Lonchura striata: one gene and its partner. The protein of the gene in region 1 purifies or fractionates together with the protein of each later gene. This does not show direct contact. Links are inferred from orthologs where the notes say so. Each region holds a gene or a part of one and is shown in the gene's direction. Other genes may lie near its edges.

The links.
Region 2: the proteins of NEDD1 (region 1) and mitotic-spindle organizing protein 2B purify together in Homo sapiens (affinity purification with mass spectrometry; 3 studies listed by BioGRID and IntAct, with this or other methods). This does not show direct contact. The link is inferred for Lonchura striata from reciprocal best matches to the Homo sapiens genes NEDD1 and MZT2B.

Annotation. Positions count from the first base shown.
Region 1 is NC_134607.1:54,833,341-54,841,350, forward strand, and holds the start of NEDD1 (protein NEDD1), read left to right. Parts: upstream 1-5,000; 5' UTR 5,001-5,094; intron 5,095-5,235; exon of another isoform or gene 5,236-5,257; intron 5,258-6,086; 5' UTR 6,087-6,094; coding exon 6,095-6,230; intron 6,231-8,010. UniProt on the Homo sapiens protein: Required for mitosis progression. Promotes the nucleation of microtubules from the spindle.
Region 2 is NC_134613.1:7,856,324-7,863,993, forward strand, and holds the start of mitotic-spindle organizing protein 2B, read left to right. Parts: upstream 1-4,662; 5' UTR 4,663-4,695; coding exon 4,696-4,841; intron 4,842-4,930; coding exon 4,931-5,067; intron 5,068-7,670. UniProt on the Homo sapiens protein: Required for the recruitment and the assembly of the gamma-tubulin ring complex (gTuRC) at the centrosome.

The DNA of each region.
Region 1 (8,010 bases):
AACAATAAACTTTTTGAACTATTTGGAAATTGCAGATTTACCTTGGCTTGTGCTTTTCAGAGAAATATCTGGTTGAGTTTCTTTTTGGGAGGAAGAGGGAGAGAGAGGTAAAATTCTGAATAATGAGTATCCTAAATGTGATCAGTGCAGGAAGAAAGGGAAAAAAAGTTCTCTCCTATTTCTCTTTGGTCCTATAAAAAAAAAAGAAGACTGGATGTATTTGCATTATGTGTAGCTGTTTAAAAGGTGAGCTGTTTTTTATTTTGTGTACACTTTTCTGGAATGCTGTAGGTAGTAGGAAAATTAGAAGGATAATGATACAGTGGTGTAAAGAAAGGGAAAAGTGAGTAATTGATAGGGCAGTTATTTTTGCAAGACAATTTAAAAACTGAGTTAGTATGTTTATTTAACTTGACTGCCTAACAGCCAGTTTGGAGGAGACACTCCTTAGCATTATTCTTTCGTTAAAATAATTTATTATTCTGCAGTTTTTCAAAAAGCAAGAAAGATAAAAATTGACATTACTCATTTTTCTTTTACAAGGAACAAGTAGGAAATTACAGCTTTTACAAAACAAACCAACAAGGTGTTCTGTCTTTTGTTGTGTTTTGAACAAACTAAAAATCTATCTTTTTTTTTTTTTTTTTGGGGGGGGGGTCACCTTGAGGATTATCTTAGGACTTTTATACAGCTTAATTAATATTTGTAAAACATGCTATAGCATCAGGTGAAAATGGAAGAGAAGTTCTATTACAGACAATGTGTTTTTTCAGTGCTGCCTGTTTGGACCTTGTTATATTTCCTATACTTGAAAGAGAAATATTAAATAAAAGCCTTTACCTATTCATTTAAAATACATTACTATACTTACTTTCCTATAATACATATTTTCTGAGATTTTTGTTTTAAAGAAGAATATTATCCTTTAACACACAGCACAGTGAAATAATAACATTAAAATGTTGACCTCACTGTATCCATAGCAGCAGATTTTATTCTTATAAACACAAGATAAAATATTCAATGCAGGTTTTAGAAGAAACATTGGAGAAAACATTTTTCTTTTAGCATATAATTAAACTCTTTAGTTAAAAACTGCTTGTAGGGAGGGAAGCTCATACCTGAATGTCTCCAGTAATCACACAGAAAAAAAAAGTATAAAAGCAATTGCAAAGCAAATTGTTTCTTGGTTATGTATTGCAGTAGTTGGGTGAGGTTTTTGTCCTTAGCAGTAAATGGAGACTAAAGCCTTCAATATGTGAAAGCACAATAGATTTGTGTCAACACCATGCTGAATTAGATTTGTATAGAATCTACTTGTGTCACTGTTTCCAAAATTAAAAAGGAAGAGGAGGAAGGAAGATTTCACTTTGTAAGGGAAGATCTTCCTGCTATGGGAAGTTCCTCTCTATGATCTGCCCCATACAACAATGCCAAAGAGCTACTATTGACAGCTTTGAACCCCTGGCATGTTTACCAATTATTTTCAAATTTTAACTGAAATATTTCTCCATTCTACATCTGTGGAAGGAATGGATAGTGCTTCTCTATCTAATAAATCGAGGGATGGGGCAAGGGAAGAGAGAGAGAAAAAAAAATAGAGAGAAAGCACACTTTGGGGAGAAATTGAAAGATTCTGAAAACAATGACATTTTATCTTCAGTCCATCCCATCAAGTGTGGGACAAGAAAGACCTATAGTAAAAGGAGGTGTTTGGGGTTTTAAAAATATTTCAGTATTTTCTGTTATGTGAACTGAATGAAGCAAAAACACTGAGAAAAAAAACAGCTTCTGGTCCTGTAATTAAAAATTTTATCATCAAGAGCATGCTGGACCTCAAATTGAATTTGAACAGGGAGCTTAACAGTGAAAGGTCTGAATGGATTTTAGAATATTTCAGTTTTCAAATACTCTTTCAATATAGTTTTAAATTATATTGGTGCCTTGAAAGATGTTCTACATTCAAGGCATTCACAGGATTTCTCATGCCTACAAATATACAGTAACTTGAAATTATTTCTGGTTAAATTAATTTTATGATGTGGAAATCAGTAATTTCACACAGATTTATCCAATTGCATGTGACTGGTTTTTAAATTCCACTACAGCTCTGCTACAATTCACAATTTTTTGTTGTCCAAAGTATATATTCATTTTCTGGATGACATCAATCTAACAAAATAATCCTAGTAATTACCCTCACTATGCCTCAGTTTCTTTATCTGAAGATAACAGTAATCCCCTCATCAGTGAGGGATTTTAAGTTTTCTGCAACAACATTTGGAAAATATTTTCAGATCCTTGAATGAAAGAGGAAGGCTATTTATATTATTATTCAGTTGAGACACACTGTAATGGAACAATCATTTGTTTCCAGTCCATTTCAGTGAAATCCGAGAAGGAAGATTCTTTAAAAGAATAATGATGGAGTTAGAATTAATTGTTGGCTAATATGCTGAACTAATTAAACCAGCAGAGAGATGCATTTATGCTTGCCAAAGGTTTTCTTTGAGTTAAAGATACTGAGAACATCATTAAATGAGAAAAGTGAAAATATGAAGCATAGGTTAATCTTTTAAACAGAGTGGGTGAAAGGGTCCAGAGGCAAGTGCTGAAGTCAAATATTTACCACTGCAATTTAATTTTCTACTTTGAAACCCCAGAGCTAATTAGAATTATTCTCATTTATCTACCATCTCAGCATGATTTAGGATTCTACTTAATGTGCAAAGAAAAAAAAGAAAGGCTGTGCTGAAGCAAATGGCACCAAAACTCGGTGTGGAACCAGATGCGCTACCTACAAAATAATCATGAGCTGACTGAGCCAGCCCTATAGTTCTGTGTGGAGGGTGAAAGTCTCTGAAAACACAGAGCACCTACAGGGCTGGTTTAGCTCCTGGCCAGACATTCAGAGTTGAAAAGTACATTTCAGCAACCACCTAAAAATTTCAATGCCCTAGGCAAAGCTCCTTGCTTTTTGGCAGTGATGATTTCTTCATTCCCTGTGAATTCTGGCATCATACAGCTACTATACAGCAGAGCTAGCAGAGAAAGTCAAGATCCTGTCTATCATATGAAATTACTGTATATATTTTATCATCATATAATGTATTAGTTATCTCTATCCCATTATCACATTCCTATGGTTCCACTACCAAATGGGATAATACCAACTTTTAAGTGGTTTCCAAACCACTCTAAAAAATTATTATAACCATAAAGAAATTAATGTCTTTTTTTCCCTAGTGTCCTGACTGCTCTTATTCCCTGGAACTCTGTGGCTTATCCTTCAGAACCTAATGTCACTGCCTCTACAATGAAAAACTTTTTTATGGGCAAAGAGGAAACCTATGTATGTTTAAAGGCAAAATGTATTAGCATAATTGAAATCTTAGCCTAATCCAAGAATTGTTATCCAGGTCTAATTATTACGGGAAAAGAAAGAATATTTCTATGTGGAAAAAGTTGTAATAATAATAGTCGTAATAATACAGTTAAAATATTATATAAACTATTTTTGTCTCTCTTCACCTGTGTATTGCTCACACTCCCACTGCTTTTACAGCCTTGCACAATTGCTGGGAATGCTCTGCCTTGCACCGATGGCCTTTCAGCAATAACACCACTTTGGCTTTAATGGTTGGGCTTAGAGCTGTGATCCTTTCCACAAATGGAATGCACCAACGTGTCCCAGTGGTTCCTTGCAAATACCAAGAACAAGCACAGCACAGGCACTGGCATAAAAAAAATGCCAGCAAAGGTCCTGCCAGCAGGAAAAATTGATTTAACTGAGGGCCTGTTACAGAATGAAGGAAAACATGCTGATCGTGTTTACTTAAAATCCCCCAAATTGTTAATTGTTCAAGGCTTCAGGGCTTGTCAGGCAGGTGCTCTCCTATCTGTCTGTAAAAACAATTATGCTCCACTGTGAGGAGATAAGGAAAAAAAGCCAAAGGATATGGCTGTGGTAAAGAAAAGGCTTTAGATTCTCTCTGTACTGAAGCTAGAATGGAATAACAAGTGCTGGGCTCAGAAGTGAAACATGACAGGTTTAGTAGCAAATTAGGACTCTAAAATGGAGCGAGAGTAGAAAACTTGCAGGAATGCTGTGGATCCCTTAACACTCAGCTGAGAAGGCAGGTGGTTGAAGATATAAATTATAACTAATGATTGGTTAATGAGGATTAATAGATGCAATAAAGACATGATCCTCAATGCTGTAGGGAAATAATGGCATTTTTTGTAACAGTGCCATGATTTATTTTCTCCTGATTCTGAGTGCATTTCCAGAGACTAGATATTAAATGAACTTGGAAAATCAAGACTCCATCAGAAAAGGAAAGTAAATCAGGCATTTCAGCTCGACTGGCTCTGAGGGTACACAGGGTGAAGCCTCGCTCAAAGGCAGATCTCTACAGAAAATTTTGTTAAAGTTCCACGTGGAATATATCTTTGAATTTAGTATATGTTGTTGTGTTTTGGGGTAGAAAGCAGGAGTGCAAACATGTATCACCGCGAAGCACTGCTACCTTTTATTTTACCGGATGAAAATAACAACAAAGTCCCTCCTCCTGTAAATTTCAGCATGACCAGGGTAACAGTTCTATTGCAAGTCAGGACACAGACGCCGCAGTTCTCTATTACTCGCTGTTACAGGAGTGATGCATTAACTGCTATCATTTATTGCGCTCTGTCGCCGTGATGTCCCGGTGTCCCAGATGTGCGGAGACCCCAGATGCAGCCGGACGCCTTTTGCTCAGCGCTGGAATCTCCAAACGCGGCAGAGGCGGCGCCCCTCAGCCCGCTCCGGCGGGTTCTCAGCGCGGCCCGCGCCCCGCCCTTCAGCCGCTGCCGGGCCCCCGCCCTGCCCGCCCCGCCCCGCCCCGCCCGCGCGCGGCCCCTCCGCGCCGCCGTAGCGCGGGCAGCGGCGCGCGGGGGCTGCCGGGACGGGGCGCGTGAACTCGGGCGCGGCGCGGCAAGCCGGGCCCGGCGGGGCGGGCGGAGCCGGAGCCGGGCCGGGCCCGTCCCTCAGGCGGCGCTGGGCCGGGCCTCGGGGCGAGCAGCGCGGGCTCGGCCCGGTGCCCGCCCGGCCAGGTGCGCGGTGCCGCGGGGAGAGCGCGGGAGCGGGCCGGGGCCGGGGCCGGGCGGTGGCGAGGGGCGGGGTGCGCCGGGCGGCTCCTCCCGCGGCCTCCGCGGCGGGAGGCGAGCTCTGTGTGAGGCGGCAGCGCGGCCCCGCGGGCTGCTGCCCACTGAAGGCGTATGTGGACCCTGAACTTCTTGTGCAGTTTTGAGTGTTAACAGTCCCGGCAGTAAGAATGAATGGCCTAAAGCTGTGTGAAGCGTCCCGCAAGCTTTGGCCAAGGGGCGTTTGTGTTCTCAGCTGAAGGGAAAGCTCACGTTTATAGTCCTCGTCTGTTGATAGTTTAAAATTATCAGGAGTAAAAAGCTGAGAGTCAGCGCTTCAAACCAGGCACCGGTTAACCTGGCTTGAAGTCTTAAAAGGTGTCACTCAAAATAAGTAGCAGTACAATGCTCTTGGCCTTTTTGGTTCGTAATGTTTTGTAAGGTGCGATGTAAGGTGACTCGCTGTCGCTTGTATTCTGCTGTCAAAGGTTTAGTTTAAAGGATTCTCGGATGTCTTTGGAGTAGTGAGATGAACGCTGAAGTGAGTCCTTTAGGTCCGCACTGCCCGCCTTGCCCTGCAACAGTTTGATTCTGGTTTGTATATCCCCATCTGCTGGTGGGAAATGGGCCCTTCAGATACTCAGGGCTTCCTGGTAGGCAGCTGTGAGCTGTGGAGATAAAGGCTTCATTTTAGTCTCTTCATGCCGTAGAGGGCCTGGCTTTGTGAGAAAGAAACCACGCGTTTCCTTCCGGAGTTTAAGTAGCAAAAACTTGGAGTGTCTGATGCTTTCGTTTGTGTGTGCAGCTGAACGGTACTAACTGTTTAACTCAAAATAAATGGTGCAGTTATCAAGAAAACTTTAACTGTATCTTTTAAAATTGTAATTTTGAATTGTTAGGTTGCCTGGTTGATTTTTTAGTTTTATGTATTTTCACTTATTAATTTATTTCTGCCAAAACAGGTGCAGCCATGCAAGAAGGCATACGTTTTGCATCATCAGGAGATGATATTAAAATATGGGATTCTTCATCTTTCACTGTGGTGGAACAGTTCAACCCACATACGCCCTCACATCCAGTCAGTTCACTGTGCTGGGCCAGCAATAGTATCCTTTACAGTTTCAGCCATATTTCTGTGGGTGTTCTGCAAAATTCCACTGTTTCTTTTTCTTTCCTTTTTTTACAGAAATGTTTGTAAAACACAGGCCTGATGTATTTTGAAGTCTTGCATAAAAATATTGGTATCTGTTTTGACCAAAGTTTTGTGGTTCCTTGTGCTGAAGAGATTTACAGAATGAGATCATGATGGTAAATAATTCTGAAGAAGTTTCTTAGCTCGGGAACCCACACTTTTTTAATGGCTGTAATGTGCCTGAATTGCCTGCCAACTGTAAACCTTACACATTTGTTTCTTCAGTAGTTGATTATGATGTTTGCTTTCAAGATGGTGCCTAATTAACTGACAAGCTTGAGCAAAGCAACTGCTGGTGTAGTAAAATTCTATACATAGTATAGTGAGGAAAATTATAATTATTTTTTTTTTTTCCATAGGACAGCTTCTCGTTGATTCTGACAATCATTGATAGTGTTCATTTACCTCTAAGCACTGGTTTTCTTTCTATTCTTTGTAAGCATTTTGAGAGGAAACACAAACCTATTGTTGTGTAGGAAAACATTCACTGGGTGGTGGTGGTTTGTCATCAAAATGGATCTGACCCATTTAGGTCTTTCACCTCTGACTTGGAAGCCAAGGAAGTCTTGGATAATGATACGAGGGGCCAAGTGGTAGATGAAGATATGAGAACTTTCAGTGGGCTGTCAGGTAAATGACTTGTGTGGCTGTCACAGGAGAAGGTGGTGGTGTCTCATCTTGACGTAGGAGGCCAGGATGCTGGCACACAGCATACGAGTCCTGCAAGTTCTGAATGTCTGTCCTCAAAGTTAACGTATGAGAATAAAAGGTTACACCAATTGGAACACAAATGAATGTTTTAGCTATGGAGCTTGCAGAGAATTTGAAGCACAGATGTAATGTTTTCATGTGTATGCATACACACTAGTATGTGTTTAGTAAACTTTTATCTACAGTCTGTCTTAACATGCTTTAATCAAGTCTCCTCTTCATCTCCCAACACTGAATATTTGTTAGCTTGTTAAGGATAAAGCATTAGTTCTGGTTACGCATAGTTATGTAAAATTATACAAACGTGCCGTAAAATAGTGACAGCAATAGCAAACACTACTCTGCCTACTGGTTCTGTTGTGTTAAATCCAGCCAATTAACCTGTGTTATTCTTTAATGAGCTAATGCAAAGTCACAATGGGCATTGGCCAGAAGACTGATTACTCAGTTTGTTTGGTGATGGTGGAGATGCAGTTTTCCTGCTCTGTAATTCTATAAATGTTCTTATTACTTTGGAGTACTTGGATTCATAACAGGTTATTTTTGGGATTTTGTTTTTCTTCTCTCAGTACAGAGTCGGGGAAACCGGCAACTGCTCTTTGTACTCTAGAAACTGTGTAGTGAAGTAGTCTGACATTTGTCATGACCAGGACCATTCTTTAAATCCATAGTCTGCTAACAGCCACAGACACTCCTTTGAACTAGTGATAAATGGTGCTCATACTTGGGGGTGTGGGGAAACAGAATTGTAGACTGGATAAGCTGCCTTAGTGGTAAAGAGCTCTTAAATAATACCTGGCAGATTTTTCTCGTCTTTTCTATCAAAGAAATTGCTGTCTGTCTTGTATTGGCAAGTAAGGGCTGTAGTTAATTTAAGAGCTTCTTAATGAAAGCTTGGAAAATGGCCTTATGTTTCTGTTTCTAGGTCCCTCCAAGGTCCAGTGCTTTAGACTGTGTAGCCAATCTGTCTTCTGTTCAATAAG
Region 2 (7,670 bases), on another chromosome or scaffold:
GCTGAGAGGGTGGTGAGGCTCTGGCACAGGTTGCCCAGAGAAGCTGTGGCTGCCCCATCCTTTGAAGTGTTCCAGGCCAGGATGGATGGGACTTGCAGCAGCCTGGGAGAGTGGAAAGTGTCTCTGCCCATGGCAGGGGATTGGAACAAGATGAGCTTTAAGGTCCTTTCCAACACCATTCTATGACTCTATGAAAACATGTAGTTTTGCAGGATGGAGGCAACCAAGAAGGACAAAAGGCTGATACAGGGCAGAATTGGAGTCTGACCACCTGGGGAGGTGGGGTGTTCACTGAATTCTGTCCCTAATTAAACCCTTTGGCTAGTGCCAAGCCTTGCATCACCCATCCCAGCACAGGTCATCAAGGCTCCTTAGTACTTCAGAGGTTGGAGAGAACCAGTAACTGATCCTTGTGGGACTGAGTTAAACCCTCACCGTGTTATCCATGCCCCCTTCCTGCCCCTCTGGCCTGGAGAAGTTCCTTGAAGCCCAAGCCTAGTGATTAGTTTGAAATCCCAGCCCTAGCAGGGATGCTTAAGTTACTTGGGTATCCCTGAGAATGCTGTGTGCTGTGTTTTGCCTCCAACCACAGCAATCTACAGGAGGATCAGATAACAGCTCAGCTGCCAAAGTTTAGAGCAAAGGAGAGAAATTTGCTCCTGATGCCTTCAGGCTGCTAGTGGAATGTTCAGGGTAGCACATACATAGCACACATGTGCAGTGGCACAGACATGTCCCAGCTGAATGCCTACTCTAATCTTTACCTAAAGACCAAATATTTGACCCAAAAGGACAAGTTTCAACTTCTGACTTGGAGAATTCTGTCACTCAGTCCCTTCAGAATGGTTCCCAACATCCTTCCAAACCACTTACTTGCTCCTGGTGTCATGTTTGGAAATTGTCCTAAGATGTCTCTGCTTGGATGCCTCCACCTAATTTTGAGTCTACACCTCTGAGTAGTTCTGTCATTTTTCATGCACAGTTTTGCAGGCCTGTCTTCAAACCACCATGCTCAGGCTCATAGAAGGGGAAATTGTTTAAGCTAAAAGGAACACTGATTTAGATTAGATACAAGAAGTATTTTACAGTGTGGGTGGTAAAACCCTGAGGCAGGTTGCTCAGAGAGGTGGTGGAAGTCCTATGTGTGGAAACGTTCAAGGCCAGGTTGGACAGGGCTTGGAGCAACCTGATCGAAGTAAAGATGTCCCTGCTCACAATAGGACGTTGGACTAGGTGACCTTCTGACCCAAACCTAGGATTCCATGATCTTCCAGGTGAGACCATCCTAGTGCCTTGCTAGTGGTGTGGCTGTGTCCCTCCCCAAAACATCCCAGGCATGATGATTCTACACTACCAGCCCTACACTTCTTGCTGTTAACATCAGTGGGGGCATCCCAAAACTGAGGTGGGGAGCAGTGCTGGAAGCTGCTCAGAGACATCCCTTTAACATAGCCCAGCGTTTTACTTGGTTATCTGGTTCCTCGTGTTAAATCCATACCCATGACTTCAGCATTGGAAACTGCATCATACTGGGTGCAAATCAAACTTCTTCCTTAAATGTAACCAGGCTAAATTATCATAAAAGCGTAGAATCATAAAATGGTTTGGGTTGGAGGACACCTTAAAGCTCATCTTGTTCCAGCCCTCTCTCATGGGCAGGGACACATTCTACTACAATGCTCTGCATCACCTTGTCAAAGTTAATTATCAAAGATAAATCATTACCTTATCCTGAAACAATGTATCTGTGATAAATTCTGTTTGCATTTGCTTTTCTATCTGGGAGCTGGTTTCCTTCAAAAAAACCTCAGAAAGATAGAAAAGTCCAGATACATTTGAATCCCTCTTTTCCATTTTCTGGATGTGGTAGGCACATTTGCTGCATTTGTTTGAGATTTGAACCATATCCAGGTTTTCTTAAGCCTGGCCCTTCTTTCATAGGGAGGTGACCTTGCTCCTTCCCTCCCTGGTGTCATGCTGACCCTCATCTCATGCACTGACAGTGTGTCCTCAGCCAGTGATTGTACCTCAGTCATTCTGTCCTTCCTGTCCCACTCAGCTTGATGACCTGCACAACCACCAGTCTTTCTCCCGCTGCAGTTACCTCTGCAAGGCACAGCCTGGCCCTGGTGTGCTCCCCTGGCCGTGCACAGCGTGTCCTGGTGCCCAGGGAAGGCTCAGCATCGCTTTGCCTCCATTTAGGGCCATGTCTGAGCAACCCGCAGTTCTTTCTGGTAACTCACTCCAAGGATTGCAGGCTCTCTGCTGCTCCTAGCTCTCTTTTCCTTCTGCTCATGCAGGCTGTTGGAGCCTCCTTTGCCCCCATCTGCTCAGCCCCTCTCTTAAACATGTTCTGCAAGGGCTGAGATGCAGCCTGGCATCAGCATCCCGGGCTGTCCTGGCTCATCCTGCTCTGGAAACCATGGACTGAGTGGTGGTTGGGCTTTAAAGTCCTGCCAGAGGCAATGGAGAGTGTCTGGTGGGCTGCAAGACCCAGGGTCCTCCTCAGTGTCATTTAAGCCAGAGTCCCCTGTGCCACCCAGAGTGCAGCTCCAGTAACTGAGGCCTCCTCAGGGGAGTTTCCCAAGGACTTCCTCTACTGACCTGTTGGACTGGGAGAGCAAAAGGGAGAAACTGAGATAACGGAGCCCCCAGGAATGCTTCAGAGAAAACCTTGAAGTCCAGAGGAGAAGGTTGTCACTCCACGTTGCAGACTAGGCCCATCCAGGCTTACACCGAGATGCGGGGAAGGTGTGACACAGCTGTGACCTATGAAGGAAGCATGTGAGGGACAGAGTCTCCTGTCCTTTGCCCTGGGAAGGTCTCCAGCCCTGTGCTGGTGACCACAGCACACAGGGAGAGCTGCCAGCTGGAACAGATGGACAGGGAAGGAGGGAGGTACATGCTGAAACTTCTCCAGTTTGTTGTACAGAAGGCAGTTCCTGGTTTTCTCTCTCTCTTTTTTTTTTTTTTTTTGGTTTTGGTTTTGTTGGGGGTTTTTTTTTGTTTTTTGTTTGTTTGTTTTTGTTTTGTTTTGTTTTGTTCCAAGAGAAGGGCTGAGCTGAAAAGCATCTCACTTTCTTCTGCTGTGAGGTGTAGCTGAGCTCTCACATGCCACAGGCTGAGGGAGGTTGTCCATGTGGGACCAAGTCTGGAGACTGCATCACCCACACAATGAGGGCGCTTGGCATTTGCACTCGACTACCAGCCTGTCCCAAAGGAAGTGGCACATCATATACCAGAACAGGCAAGAGATCAAGCACAGGGGTGTTTTTCAGTCCCCCTGTATCACAGACTCTACACTCCCTGCTCAGCTGAGGGTCCCTCTGAAAGTCCAGCTGTTGGGACAACCTTAGGCTCTGTGGCTTCAGCATTGGCAACCCCACAGACAGTGCAGTCACTCATGCTGGAGCAGCTGCTCCCACTCAAAACACAGCAATAATTGTTCTTGCTGGGCTGGTCCTGCTTTGGGCCATAAAGAGCAAGATCCTTCTATCATTATCCATGTCATTCCTGTCTTGGCTTCTGCCATAAATGTCTGTTTGTCAGCCTGGCCATCAAGTCACAAGGTTGGGGCACCCTGACAGACTCACAGGTTGCTTGGGATGTGGAGTGGGAGCATCTGTCTGCTGTGGCTTGGTGTAGGGATGGGATGGGGTCTGTCATGGCAATGCTGGGGGGACACAGTGACCCCTCTGCTCTGTTCCCCATTAACAGCGCAGCTGCAGGGCCTGTGTGTGCTGGGCTGGACCATCCTTCCCTGATGGCAACAGATCATTTCCATTTAGATAGGAGGGATTTCAATCTCAGTTTGCCAGCTCTTCGCCACGGTGCGACTCAAGACCCAAATTTCCTGCTTTTTCCCGCATGATGCCCAGATGCTCTCTGGGCTCAGGGCCTGCAGCGTGTTCAAGGGAGCTGGCGCCCGGCCCAGGGGACAGCTGGGGTGAGGACGTGGGCTCTGTAGCTCCGCGGGTCCCCATGGCACCTCCGCACCCCAAACTGCTGCACTGCCCTTCGTGCTCAGCGGATCCCGCTGGGTTCTGCCCTGCCCTGGAGCGGAGGCGCCTGCGGGGAGACCGCGTGGGGGGCAGCGGGGCGGATACGGGGCACTGCACAGCGGGCACCGGGCACTGCACACCGTACACCTCACACCGCACGGTGCACACCTCACCCCTCTCACCTCACAACTCACGCCGCACACCGCACGTCTCTCCTCACACACCGCACCCCTCTCACCTCACGCCGTCACCCCGCGGGCGCTGCGGCCGCTCCAGGCAGGGGCCCGCGGCCGGGGGCGCGGCTGGAGCGCTGCTGCCACCTGCCGGCCGCGCCAGGAGCAACAGGCCCGGAGCGGCGGGGACTGAGCCACTGCCGAACACTGAGGGGGCGCGGCCCGGTGTGAGGGGCGTGTCCCGGTGTGAGGGGGCGTGTCCCGGTGTGAGGGGGCGCGGCCCGGTGTGAGGGGCGTGTCCCGGTGTGAGGGGGCGTGTCCCGGTGTGAGGGGGCGCGGCCCGGTGTGAGGGGCGTGGCCCGGTGTGAGGGGGCGTGGCCCGGTGTGAGGGGGCGTGTCCCGGTGTGAGGGGGCGTGTCCCGGTGTGAGGGGGCGTGTCCCGGTGTGAGGGGCGTGGCCCGTTGCGAGGGGGCGCGGCCCGGTGTGACGGGCGGGGCCGCCAGGGGCGGGACCGCGCAGCCATGTCGGAGGGACCGGCGACAATGGCGGCCCCGGCGCCGATGGCGGAGACGCGGCTGCGGCGGAAGCAGCTGCTGAGCGCGGAGGAGGCGGAGCTGTTCGAACTGGCGCAGGCGGCGGGCAGCGGGCTGGACCCGGAGGTGTTCCGGTGAGCGGTGGGGGCGCCGCCGCGGGAGCCGGCGGTGACGCCGGATCCCCGTCTGACAGGCGCTCCCGCTGCCGGTGTTCCCCTCGCAGGGTGTTGCTGGACCTGCTCCGCATGAACGTGGCGCCGCTCGCCGTGTTCCAGGTGCTGAAGTCGATGTGTGCCGGGCAGCGGCTCCCGCCCGCCGCCGAGAGCGGCCCCGCCGCGCCGATGCCCGCCGACAGCCGAGGTACGGGGCGGGGCGGGCGGGGCCCTTCCCCGGGGCGGGCCCGCCCCGAGCGCGGCCGGAGCCCGCCGGCCGCCGGCCCCGCGCTGCGCCCGCCGCGGCCCGGGGCGCGCCCGCCGCTGTCCCGCGCCCGGGCCGCCGCGGGAAGGGGCCCGCGGGCCGCCCGGCCCGGCCCCGGCGGCGCCCCGGCCCGGGGGGCCCGCTCCGTGTGAGCCCAAGCCCGGGGGGCTCGCTCCGTGCGAGCCCAAGCCCGGGGGGCTCGCTCCGTGCGAGCCCCGGCCCGGGGGGCCCGCTCCGTGCGAGCCCCGGCCCGGGGAGCCCGCTCCGTGCGAGCCCCGGCCCGGGGGGCCCGCTCCGTGCGAGCCCCGGCCCGGGGGGCCCGCTCCGTGTGAGCCCAAGCCCGGGGGGCCCGCTCCGTGCGAGCCCAAGCCCGGGGGGCCCGCTCCGTGTGAGCCCCGGCCCGGGGGGCCCGCTCCGTGCGAGCCCCGGCCCGGGGAGCCCGCTCCGTGCGAGCCCCGGCCCGGGGGGCCCGCTCCGTGCGAGCCCCGGCCCGGGGGGCCCGCTCCGTGCGAGCCCCGGCCCGGGGAGCCCGCTCCGTGTGAGCCCAAGCCCGGGGGGCCCGCTCCGTGTGAGCCCAAGCCCGGGGAGCCCGCTCCGTGTGAGCCCCGGCCCGGGGGGCCCGCTCCGTGCGAGCCCAAGCCCGGGGAGCCCGCTCCGTGCGAGCCCCGGCCCGGCCCCAGCCCCGTCTGTCTTAGTGCTCGTGGGTTTTAGGCAGCGTGGGAGCTCTGGGGAGGCTGCTGCAGTACTTGTGCTGCGTTTTGTAGCCTCCTGGCTCTGCTCGCCAAGCCCTTAACAGGAGAAAACCACTTTAATCTACAGTAATATTCAGTACTGCTTTGTTTGTATATAACTTTTAAAAAGTTAAAAGTTTTCGGGCTTGTTTGTATATGACTTTTGAAAAGTTAAAGTTTCCGGGCCATGAGGAATCCCTGGAAAAGGAAGAGAGCTGTATTGCTTCCTTTACTCTATCCCCCCATGTTCGTGGTGGCTTCTAACACTCATCCAGCTGTTTCCATCCTCCAGCGATGGAATTTGTGTGGGGAGATGAAGTAGAAGGCTATGGGGGACTGTCAGATAAAGCAGTTACTGCTTTTGAATGCATTTATCTCTCCTTAATACTATAATGTCCGTGAACAGTAAAAACCATAGCCCTGAATTTGTGCCATATATATATATATATATATATATATATATATATATATATATATATAATTTTATTTTATTCATAACCAGTTCTAATAAAATTTCCATTTACTCCCTGAAGTGACTTTTTGCTCACCAACTCTGTGGATTACTTCCAAAAGGTTTAAAAATAAGTAACTAAAATAAGTCTGCTGTCACTAAGCCTGGATTCACAGTGGAAAAGTTTATTTCTCTTGTGCTCAAAAGTGTGTCAGACAGGGGCAGTGGTTGGTGGTTGGGCACGTTTATTCTCTTGGCTGTGCTTGCAAGTCATGTCGAAAGTGAAGTTGAGAGGGGGTTTAATTTGAAAAGCAGTCACTTTTGGGATAAAGGAGTTATGCCACAATCTGGTGCTTTTATAATGGCAAAGTTCAAGGTGAATCCCCTCTCTGAGCAGCTGAGGGGAACTCGGGAAGTTTGCTGAAGCTCAGGCAGAGTGTGTGGATAAAGTGTCCAGAGCTCCTTGGACTCGCCATGAACAGGTTTCCCTTTCTCAGGAGGTTCAGAATTCTCTGTAGAGGAGGTGGTTGTGCTGAAGAGAACAACCTCACATGTGACTGAGAAGTGACTCTGAATATGCACAGGGGCAAGAGAGGACAGACACCTGAGTACTATTTCCTAAACAAAATGGGAGAGGTGCAGCACTTGGATTTTTGTCAAGTGTGAAGCAGTGAGCTATTCTGGTACCCCATTAAGAGGAAATATCCCAAAAGAGCAGAGATTTTGAGCAAAGGATGCTGTTAAATTTTGCTCTGACTCCTCTGTTGCTGCCCCATCTGTTACAGGCTACTCTAACTGCGAAGGGAATGTTGGCGAGGTTTTTGTTCCTGTATGTCTGTAATGTGGAGCAGCTTTTGTTCTCTTATCTATGCTCTTTAAGGGGCACTTTCTGGACAAGTGAGGCTTTTCTTTTCCTAGCACTGAGCTACTGCTATGAGCTAATTTTAGCTAGTAGTGGGCTCGCTCAGGGTGTGAGACAGGCCAATGGCCACTTGATTTTTAATCAGCATTAAATTTCTTGAGAGGGAAAGCCAGAAGCCCTCAGGTAGAGTTGGTATGTGCTTAATTGTTGCCTTCTACTACCCTGCTGCAGGCATCTTCGAGAGGCTGAGACTGCAGGAGTTAGTAGTTGTCTTGAGAGCTTAATTTGGTGCTCTTTCTGCATCTTTAGTAGAGCATCTCCTGGTCTGACTCAGATTTCAGTTCTAATGTGTCCAGCCAGGCTTTTCTCTTTGTAGTATCCCTTTAACATGGACACGTTAATATCCTGGAGTTCTCTGGGACAAGCCCTTGAAACCAAAGGGAAAGTGTAGTGAGGTTCAGGGAAAGATGGTGTTGTTTGTGGTAAATATTTCTGGTATTAG